Cricetulus griseus: one gene and its partners. The protein of the gene in region 1 interacts with the protein of each later gene in a biochemical or structural test. Links are inferred from orthologs where the notes say so. Each region holds a gene or a part of one and is shown in the gene's direction. Other genes may lie near its edges.

Evidence for each region.
Region 2: the proteins of baculoviral IAP repeat-containing protein 3 (region 1) and Ripk2 form a complex in vitro, tested with the Homo sapiens proteins (2 studies listed by BioGRID, with this or other methods). The link is inferred for Cricetulus griseus from reciprocal best matches to the Homo sapiens genes BIRC3 and RIPK2.
Region 3: the proteins of baculoviral IAP repeat-containing protein 3 (region 1) and Ube2v1 form a complex in vitro, tested with the Homo sapiens proteins (2 studies listed by BioGRID). The link is inferred for Cricetulus griseus from reciprocal best matches to the Homo sapiens genes BIRC3 and UBE2V1.

The regions. Positions count from the first base shown.
Region 1 is NC_048597.1:122,234,543-122,238,193, reverse strand, and holds part of baculoviral IAP repeat-containing protein 3, read left to right. Parts: intron 1-1,640; coding exon 1,641-1,719; intron 1,720-2,718; coding exon 2,719-2,767; intron 2,768-3,651. UniProt on the Homo sapiens protein: Multi-functional protein which regulates not only caspases and apoptosis, but also modulates inflammatory signaling and immunity, mitogenic kinase signaling and cell proliferation, as well as cell invasion and metastasis.
Region 2 is NC_048595.1:129,989,811-129,993,322, reverse strand, and holds the end of Ripk2 (receptor-interacting serine/threonine-protein kinase 2), read left to right. Parts: intron 1-1,115; coding exon 1,116-1,277; intron 1,278-1,823; coding exon 1,824-2,161; 3' UTR 2,162-2,931; downstream 2,932-3,512.
Region 3 is NC_048599.1:11,779,848-11,783,598, forward strand, and holds the start of Ube2v1 (ubiquitin-conjugating enzyme E2 variant 1), read left to right. Parts: upstream 1-1,278; 5' UTR 1,279-1,401; coding exon 1,402-1,423; intron 1,424-3,751. UniProt on the Homo sapiens protein: Has no ubiquitin ligase activity on its own. The UBE2V1-UBE2N heterodimer catalyzes the synthesis of non-canonical poly-ubiquitin chains that are linked through Lys-63.

The DNA.
Region 1 (3,651 bases):
TTTATTTTTTTATGCATGAGTATTTTGCCTACTCACGTCTAAGCACCATTTTGTGCAGTGCCTGCAGAGGCCAGAAGAGGGCGATGCACCCTCTGTGAGTGGAGTTAGAGAGGGTCTGAGCCAACTCTTGGGAGTTGGGAATCAAACCTTGGTCCTCTGGAAGAACAGCCAGTGCTCTTAACTATTGAGTCATCTCTTCTGCCCCATTACTTCAGATTTTAAACATTGTGAAGATTATGAAGAATATCCCCCCCACCCCCTCGAAAAGCCAAAAAAGAAAAAAAGTATTTACATAGATTTTTTTAAAAAGTGCTTTCCATTACTCTAGTTAAATTTTTTAATACTTTTTTTTGTTTGTTTTATGTGTGTATATTTTGTGAAGGTCAGAGAACACTTTTTGAGGGCTGGTTCTCTCCTTTTATCCTGTGGGACTGAACTCATGTTACCAAACTTGGTGGCAAGTACCCACTGAGCCGTCTCGCCAGCCGCTACAGTAGGAGTCCTGAGCCTGCACCAGCACTGTATGGATTCACTCTGTACTTGCTTTAGCAGGGGATCTCTAATGTAGGGATTGGGAAGCTCATCAACAGAAGGTTGTGCTGAGTGTCCCCATTCTTTCCCTCAAGTCTGTTTGCATGTTTTCAGACCATGACATTGTCACTGAAATGATCACATGACTTATGGAGAGAACTCTCTGCGTCCATGTTGGCTTAGCGGTATTTTTAGAAACCTAAGAAGAATGGAGAGCAGGGAGAAACTCTGAGTAGAGACCTCTTGGTGGCCTTGGCTTGAGGACTGTGCTGGGAGCTCCTCGTGATCACCACTCAGTGGCTCAGCCTTGACAGCACAGAGGCTACTCCTCTCCATGATCCTGCCTTTCGCTACAGCCCCTTCCTCCTTCCTGTGCCAAGTCAATAGTGTGGTGCTTATGTTTGTGTTCAAGCTCCTGAGGAATGTTTACCAGCCTACATAGAATGGCTCCGCCCAATGTGCCATAAACTTTTCAGGATTTTCAAAATTCAGAGAGATATGGTATAGCCTGGTAATAAAACTATAAAACATAAAGTAGTAAAGCTAATTTTATAAAGCAACTGAAGTATATGAAAAGTGCTAGAAGTTAATCAAATTCACCCTCCCCTCAATGGGCAGCACTTGGAGAGATGGGTCAGTGGTTACCGCTCTTGGTTCCCAGCACCCACATTCAGGCAGCTCACAACCACCTATAATTTCAGTCCCGGAGGGCCAGGTGCTTCTCACCTCCATGGGCCTGGCATTCACGTGCATAAACACACACACGGACACAGACATACACACAAGCAAAACAATGAACCTTCATAAAGCCCCATAAGGAAAACAAGCTCACACAGTGTCAGTCCCGGTAGCCCAGGCTTGCTTATTCTCCTAATGTTAGGAATCTGGTCTTTGGTGATTCTGTCACCTGGGTAACCAGATTTCACACAAGGTGAACACCTAGACATGAATGTGTCATTACATTTCACTTCACTTTCTGAAATTAAAATGAGTTTTCAATCATAAAAATGAGCACAATAAAACTACTTGTAGTGGCACTGTCCCTTCTGAGGCTGGTAATGAACAAAGTTGTCTTGTTAAGGAATGCCCAAGGCTTCTTTGCATTTTAGGTGTGAATACTTGATAAGAATCAAAGGACAAGAGTTTGTTGGCCAAGTTCAAGCTGGGTACCCTCATCTACTTGAACAGGTAGGAAAGACCTCTGTTTTCTTTTCAATTATTGCTTCCCAACAGAGAAATTTTATTTATTTTTAAAGGGTTAGTTGTTTAACAAATTATTTTTAAGAATTTGTTTGTAAAATAAATCACAGAGTAATATTTCAGTGAAAAGGTGAAAGTTGTTTTAAAACAGGCCCTCATCTTTTCTTTCAAAAATCAGCATCACCATGCCGGGAGCCATTCTTGTGAGAAAAAGATCTATAATTATTGGCCACATAAAAGACAGTGTTTGTTGTATTCCTCTTTAAGCATTTGTCTAACCAATCATCAATGTATTAAACTCTGAAGCAAAAAATAAATTAAATTTGAGGGGAGATGTCTACCCTGTAGTTTTTTTTGTTGTTGTTGTTTTTTTAAGTTTTATTTATGTATACAGTGTTCTGTCTGCATGTATGCCTACATGCCAGAAGAGGGCACCAGATCTCACTATAGATGGTTGTGAGCCACCATGTGGTTGCTGGGAATTGAACTCAGGACCTCTGGAAGCACAAGCAGCCAGTGCTCTTAACCTCTGAGCTATCTCTCCACACCTGTAAATTTTTCTTCAGTGACTTGAGAAAGCATTTGTTACTGCTCCTTGGAAAAAGCATATGGGAACTTATTTTATAGTCTAAGCTTCAAGAACTTATCAGCCATGGCTAGAGGAACCGAGTGCTGAGTCATCTATCCCAGCAGATGAGTAGGTACAGCCGCTGCAGATGCAAGGCCATCATGTGGCCTCTCCTGAATCCAGCCAGTCCTATCCTGAGGAGGCTCTGCTCACTGCAGCACACTGTCTATTGGATGCTGGTAACCTTGTTCAAACCCCTGGTAAATGTAAATGAAATGATGCTTTTGACTGAAAAAAAAAATGTCTTCTGGATGGCAAAGTGGTTAAGGTAGTAGGTTAAGTAAAGCAGCTTTGTTGGTGATTCTCAGTGCAGTAGTGGGATGCAGTTTACATTTTAACATGTATGTTTTTCCCCATAGCTATTATCTACCTCAGACACCCCAGAAGACGAGAGCGCAGAGTCACCAAGTATGTATAATGACCCTAGTGCATTTAAGTGAACCAGCTTGTAGTAAGAGTGAAGGTGCAGATGTGTGTGGTTGTAATCCAGCATTGGGGAGGTAGAGGTGGAAGGATTGTTGTTCAAGGCCCCATAGAACTACTTGAGACCCTGTCCTAAAAATAAACAGAAAGGTTATAATGGTAAATGCAGATTCGTGTTGATCTACAATTTATAATTAATACACCCTGTTACTGTCTGTCAAACATCAATGCACAGCAGAGTTGCTTGGAGAGCCAACAGTGTAGATGTCTAGTTTATGCTTCAGACCCCACAGACTGAATCAGTGTATGTAGTGTGTGGCTTGGGTTCCTATGTACAGTTGTTTGATGGTCCTGTGAACCTAGGGCCTCAGGCATGCCAATCACAGCCTCTTTCACTGAGCTCCACCCTGTAGCCCTGGGCATCTATACAGACTGTGTACATCCAGCCTTGCCCTGTTGTTGAGCCTTTGTGGGAACAAATACACTGTGTTTTCAGTTGCTGGCACACTCCTCCTGTCCATAGAGAGGGTAGAACATAGTGTTCCACCCTGACTTGCATAGTACTTAAACCCAAGAGAATGGAGCAAGCATTTGAACAGATCTTGACACTGCTTTTCAGTGTTCAAGGCAATACATTGTAATAATTTATTTATTTTTATTTTATGTGCATTGGAGTTTTATTTGCATGTGTGTCTGTGTGAGGGTGTCAGGTCTCCTGGAATTCAAGTTACAGACAGTTGTGAGCTGCTATGTGGGTGCTGGGAATTGGACCCAGTCCTCAGGGAGAGCAGCCAGAGCTCTTAACTGCTGAGCCATCTTTCCAGGCCTAATGTAATTTTTTTGTTTTGTTTTGTTTTGTTTTTCGAGAT
Region 2 (3,512 bases), on another chromosome or scaffold:
GGTGGTTAGGGTTAAGATGGATGATAGTTACGATTTTAATTTTTTTTATTTTTTGTTTGTCTGAGATACCATCAGTGCCTATCGGGGTGATGTACAGAGTGTTGAAGAGGCAGTGTGTTCAATAATGATGGAAAGACAATTACAGAAATTACTTGAAAGGATATAGTGGGAAATTACCAAAACCGAGTCAGGTAGAAATATAAGGGTATTTAATAGGGAAAAGCCTTACTTACAGAGCGACCTAAGTAGGCGTGGCTACAGCTTCCCCTACAATAGGAGAGATAAACAGTTGGAGCACTGGAATTGTTTTCTAGAGGACAAAGAAAACATGTCAAATACAGATTTATTGCACTTAAAAGTTTATGTATCCGGGGGTGGGCTTAGACCCTATCCCAAAGGATATGATAGACTCTGATAACACCATCCAGGGGAGCAGAAAGGAATTGTGATAGGTAGGGTTTTAGTGGGGGGGTAGGGGAGGAGAGGACTGGGATTGTTATGTAAAACAATCTTGTTTCTAATTCAAATTAAAAAAATCTGAAAGAAAAAAGTAAAGAATGTCTATGGATCTGACAAACATACATAAGACACATTTAAACTGGAAAGGGAGGAGTTCACCGGGAAGAAGTAATGGGTTATGAGAAGAAAGGAAATTTTATGACTTATAAGCATAGAACAACAAGCACTAACAGTGGTAAAAAATAAAATAAAATAAAATAAAGCAATAAAAAAAACAACTATTCTGTGTAAATGCTTGTTCGACAAAAAAGTGTTTGCAGAGCTGGCGAGATGACTATGGGCAGAGTGATTTTAGCCAGGCCTACAACCTGAGCTTGATCATCAGGACTCATGTGGTAGAAAAGAAAGTTACCTTCTCTGACCGCATGCATACACACACACACACACACACACACACACACACACACACACACACACAAATAAATGTAATTCAAAATACTTAACTTATTTGCAGAATTGAATTTCTGAAGTAGTTTCAATGACAGTGAGAAACCAAGGCCATTGGAGCCTACCTTCTGTGTGAGCCACCCATTGATATTTTACTGATAGGACTATCTAGTGAATACTCTACCTACCCCTAATGAAATGTTCTGTAGGAGGACCTCAAGATGGCTCTTCATCGAAGCTGCATCACTGTTCTGGAAATCACAGCTGGGATGGTGCCGTTTCCGAATCACACAGGACAGCCCTCTGTGATCACAGACCCACCCTGTGCTCTTTGGCTATAATAAATCCACTCTTCGTTTCGAAAAGTTCAGGTAAGTATATGCTGTGAGATATACTGCAAATGCTGGTATTCACCTTACACGAACACACTGAGTAAATTCACCATATAATGAGCTTTCTTAGTTTCCATTCCCTACCCTAGAAACATTTAAGTAGGAAAGCATTTCCAACTTCGTGCTGCCCTTGTCTTAACAGGGCCAGGTGCACTCCAGGAATCTAACTAGGAAGGAAGTATTAAGATGAAGCCTCACTTGCTACCTTAGTAAAGGTGAAGCTATTTTTGTTTATCAACTATGCTTGTATCCTTTATGTTTGAAAGGAAACAAAAAGTAAAATCATTTTGCCCCACAACAGCATATAAAAAAATACAGTATTTGCTCAGTAAGGTGAATGGGAGATAAAACTCAAGCCTCTGAATACTTCCTGAAAAATATAAGCATTTTCAAAAAATACTGTTTATACTGGCACCCTCATGTGGAAATGTCCGTTCTGCTTATTCATTTTTACAAAGAATTATACTCATTGCTTGTGTCTGTACTCGTCATCATTGTAAATTGTTCATGCTTGCTCTTTCAAAGAGCGCCTGCAACCTGGAATAGCCCAGCAGTGGATCCAGAGCAAGAGAGAGGACATTGTGAGCCAGATGACTGAAGCCTGCCTTAACCAATCGCTGGATGCCCTTCTGTCCCGGGACTTGATCATGAAGGAGGACTATGAACTCATTAGCACCAAACCAACAAGGACCTCAAAAGTCAGACAGTTACTAGACACCACTGACATCCAAGGAGAAGAATTTGCCAAAGTTATAGTACAGAAGTTGAAAGATAACAAGCAAATGGGACTTCAGCCTTACCCGGAAATGCCTGTGGTTTCCAGAACACCATCTTCAAATTTCCATCAAAATAAAAGCTTATAAGTGAGTCTTTTCTGAGAGGAAAGTCAGTTTACAAATGGTTATTTATATGTCTGTTACCTGGATAATATTTGTATAAAAACATGAGTATTAGTTGCTTCCCTGAAGGTTTTTTGGATGAGATAAGTATGTCTCCTTCCATGGCATTGCAGTATTTTTTTTTAAATTAATATAAGTAAAACTTTTGCATTATGCTGTGTAGTTCAGTTTTTTATGTCAGTTTCATTACTTGAACCTTTTTATGTAATAATTACATTTTTCTTGAATATACCAGTGCCTTAAGGTAGCCTTTGTTTCTGATGGAAGACATTTCCAAACTCACTTTATCTGCGGAGCTTCATTATTCCTCTAAAATGAAATTTGACATTACATAGCAGTGATACAGTAGTCCCACCCTGAAATTCCGAGTTCAGATCCCCAGTGAGTTACTCATTTTTAAATTTTATTCACAAACTGTTAGGAGGTTATTTCCAGGTGCACAAGGTGTATAAAGAAGAAAAGAGCAATCTCTTGTTAACACTGGCCGTCTATCCACCTCTCCTCTTTGAGCAGAGTGAACAACCACTGTGCCCCTGATGGCCTGCTTCCTGCTCCTGTCTAGAACATATGCTGACTGGGTAGAGGCCCTTCCTTACTTAGAGTGGCTGTTTTCTCTGTAACTCAGCATGGTTTCCGCACTGAGGCGTGCTGCAGGTTCAGCTTCCTCCTCATCGTGCACATCTGGTCAGTTAGCACACAGTAGCCAAGCTGCTCTATTTTTTTTTTTTTTCTAAGCTGTTCACACCAACTTCACTACAAACAATAAAGATACAATGCAATGTGAGTCCCTTTTCTTTTGGCTGCTAGCTTATGTCACTCAAGGAAACCTACAAGAAGTGATACCTTTTTCTGAAAACGGTTTAACAATGTTTGCAAAAAAATAAGAAACAGCATAAATTTGAAAGCATATACTTTCGGGATGCACTAGACTTAGAACCTGAAAAATATGAATAAAGAATAAAAGGATTTAGATGGCATTTAGGCAATGAAATATCCCCATTTAAAATAAGAATTTAAGCACCAGGGTTGGACAGATGACTCAGCACTGGCTGCTCTTGAATAGGACAAAGGTTTGGTTCCCAGTACCCATACAACAGCTCACAAACATCAGTAATTCCAATTCGGGTATCTAACTCTCTTCTGGCATCTACAGGCACCAGGCACATACACAGTGCACTTACATGCAGGCAAAACTCATACACATAAAAGGAAAAAAAATTTAAACAATTTAAATTCCATTTTAAAATGGCATTAACCCATGGTATAACTTTTTTGAGACTTTCAGAAACACATAAATTTATAAGGAAAAATAAAA
Region 3 (3,751 bases), on another chromosome or scaffold:
TATAATTCTGAGTTTACCACATACTCCGCGAGGTAATGCAATGTAGATGCTTAGTAAAAACCAAACAGGTGACAATGGGGCGCTCCGGTGAGGGCTCCCAGCTTCCTGTCCCTCTGTAGGCACTTAGCAGTGCGACCTGGAGCTGGCTACTTTACCTTTCTCAGTCTTGTTTTCCACAGCCACTTAGAGGTTTCCAAGGTGGCTTCGGGATGTGGTTTACAGTGTATGCGGATGTATGTCTGTAAGACCTTTGCATATTCAAGACTGTTGAAATGGAATCGCCAAAGGAGGCCTTTCCTAATTGTTCCCCTTTCCTATCCCAGGTAAAGAGTTCATTTATATTCACTTGTTCTCTGTCCGGCAAGGATGTAAACCCTGAGACAGACTCTTGCCTCTTTGGGGATGTTGTCATTTCCAGCACCTAGCCGCCCTCCTACATATAAATATCTGAATGAATGAATGTTTAGATCAAGAGTGAAAAGACGCAAAGGTAGGGGTGTGGCTCCCTTGATAGAGAGCTCGCATAGCAGGCACAAGGCCCTGGGTTCCACCAGCAACCCTTCTAAAACCAGGAGTAACACAGGCCTGCAACCCAAGCTTGTGAGAGGTGGAAGTAGTAGAATCAGAAATTCAAGGTCGTCCACCTCTATAGGGCGAACGCTAGGTCAGCAGGAGTCCCGGGACCCTGGGTCAAACAAACAAAACGATTTAAAAAAAAAAAAATGATCGGGCGTTGGGGGCGCACGCCTTTAATTCCAGCACCCCGGAGGCAGAGGCAGGTGGATCTCTGTGAGTTCGAGGCCAGCCTGGTCTAAAGAGGGAGTGCCAGATGAGGCTGCAAAGCAACACAGAGAAACCCTGTCTCGAAAAGCAAACAAACAAGCAAACAAAAGGCTGAATGCATGCTCAGGAAGGTTCTCAATCCCCTGGCAGCGCCGGGTCCCTTCAGGTAGCAGCAAAGCAGGAAACAAGATTGTAGTGGCCACAGTTTGACCTCTTCAGATACCCATAACAAAAATATCTGACTCAGCATCTGAATCGAACACCTCTCAGCTTCATTTCCACATTAATAATGAGCTGGAGGCAGCCAGAGGGGAAACCGCCCAAGAAAGGCATGGGGTTCCGCAGCCCTTCCTCCCCCGTTTGCTCTCCCAGCTCAGCGTGACCACCGGGGCCCTGGCACCGGGCGCCGGGCTGGGCGGGGCAACCTGCAAGTCCCGCCCTCGTGCTCGCTCACCCTAGACCCAGGCAAAGCCCTTCCCGCCCGGCTCGTGCGACCCCGAGCGGGCGTCAGCGGCACCGTCTGCGTCTGCGCCTACGCCTGCGCCTGCGCACCAGCGCCCGGGGAAGCTCAAGGGGGGGGTGAAGAAGGGGCCGGCCTTCGAGCGACAGCGACGCAAGATGGCAGCCACCACAGGCTCGGGTGAGCGGAGGCGCCGGGCGTGCTGGCGGACGGGGCGCGGGGCTGGCTGGGCTGGGCCCGGGGCTGGCGGAGGCCACGGTGGCCGGGCCGGGGCTCCGCGATCTCCTTGCGGCTGCTCTTGGCGGCGCGGCCGGGCCGGGACGAGCAGGCGGCGGCCGGAAGCCCGGGCGGGGGCAGCGGGGCCGTGGGCGGTGCGGCCAAGCCGGAGGTTCCGCGGGCGCCTCCGGGGGTGGGGGTGGGGGAGGCCGGCCGAGGGGCCGAGCGAGCCCGGGAACGCCCGGGCCAGGCCCCGCTGAGCCGGCCTGAGTGACGGGATCCGGGGATGCCTGGTGGGGGACGCGGGCGCAACCCCAGGGAGCCTCGCGGGCCGCAGGCGAGGCCACCCCAGGGCCCCGCGCGAATTTGGGGTCGGGGCTGCGAGAGGGGGAGTCTCCTGGTGGTCGCTTCCCGGGGAAATCGGGGCATCTGCACAGGGAGAGCCCGGGCGTCCGCAGCGGGAGCAGGCCTGGGCTGTGGGGACCACGGTTTGCCCAGATAGGTCTCGGAGGGCGCGCTGGGAACCGTGCGCGATGTGGGGTGGGCACGAGCAGGTGCCTCGGGAGCCCCGCCGGAGGTCAGGTGGGGCGTGTCATCGGTGGGGAGACTGGGACGGGGTGCAGTCCCCAAGATGTTTCTTTTGGAGAAGAAAATCCTCCTCTTCCTGCACCAGGCGGATGAAGGAAGTGCCTGTTTAGTTGGAGCCGGTCACTTCGAATAATTGGGAAAAATATATGGGTTCAACTCAAACTCCCCCTTATCTGGATGGGTGGGAGAGAAGAACACTGAAATGAGAACCCTTGGGTGACACGGAAGGCCTAGCAAGGGGGGGTGCTTTTAGGGGAGAAGCTCTGCCAGTCTCTTGTGGGCTAAGAGAAGCCTGCTGTGCCACCACCTGAGATAGGCCTGAGGGGGAAGCCGAAGGGTCTGTCTCGGGACAGACAACTTGCACTTGGTTGTCGCAGCATGGGGCTCTGGCGGTCTAGAGATGGGGTAGGCATTGGTGAAGGGGACCCCCCGGGGTGTCTAGCTCTTCCAGGGAAGGACTTTGGAGAGACTAGGTGCCCCCTGTTGATGAAGAGCTGCATCTTCTGGAGCCTGGTGATGGGGGTGGGCAAGGGGCAAGGATGGGCCGCCGGCCTGGGTACTGGCGTCTTGGAGCTGTGTGAGGCACCAACAGCAACAGGGTTAGGGAGGGTTGAAGGGAAGTTCCAGGGGAGTCATCTTTCCAGGATTATTGCTCTTGCCGTATTCCAAGAAGCCTTCCTTGTGTGTCTTAGGGACTCGAAGCAGAGAGGTTCTGCCTGCAGTGATCCACCACACACTACCTGGGGTCTCTGACAGAAGGCTGTGCACAATGCTGGGTCAGTTCATTCACCAGCACAGCCATGGGCACTCCTGGAGACCAAGGCTGAGTCAAGCCAGACTGGGGCGGGGTATGGACATCTCCCAGAGCAGTGTCCCTGCCAGACCTAGGAGTGCACTGCCTGGCAGCCAGTATTGGGGTGGCATTGCCACTCAGCTCAGCTTGTAGTTACTTGAGACCGTCTCACAATCTGGTTTGACAGCTACTTCTAACTCCTGAGACGCTGCCAGTGCTTCCTAAGTACAGAGGAGGGGAGATACAGCAGCAGCTGCTGATGTGTGCTGGAATCCCAGGGCTTGGCCTGGAATGTGGCTCAGCGCTAGAGTGTTCATCTAGCATATTGGAGGTCCTGGGCTCCATCCCTGGCACCACAGAATAAAGCAAGATCACCTAGCATGGCTAGATACCTTAGGGCAAGCTTTGAGGTACGGTGAGGGCTTCCCACAGATGATGACTGGGGCCTATTGTGTCCTATTGTGTGCAGCAAGCAAGATAGTTTCATTCAAACCAGACAGAAGACCTTTCAGGGTGTAAATAAAGTGACTCCAAAAAGCAGGAAGTGCTGTGAAGAAAATGGGGAGTCTGGAGAAGTGGGGCAGGACTCGATGCAGTCCCCCCCCTTCCCCCATGGTGGAGCCAGTGTGTAGTGTTAAAAAGATCTAATTAAAAGGCAGGGCAGCAGCGGTGCACACCTTTAATCCCAGCACCTGGGAGGCAGAGGCAGGTGGATCTCTGAGTTCAAGGCCAGTCTGGCATACACAGTTTCAGGACAGAGTCCAGAGCTACAGAGAAACTCTGTCTAGGAAAAAAAACACATTAAAAAGAAATGCAGGGAGGCAGTGAGATGGTTCAGCAGGTAAAGACCCTTGCTGAGCCGTAGGCCCCGAGTTTGATCCCCAGGACCCACATTGTTAGAAGAAAGCGCC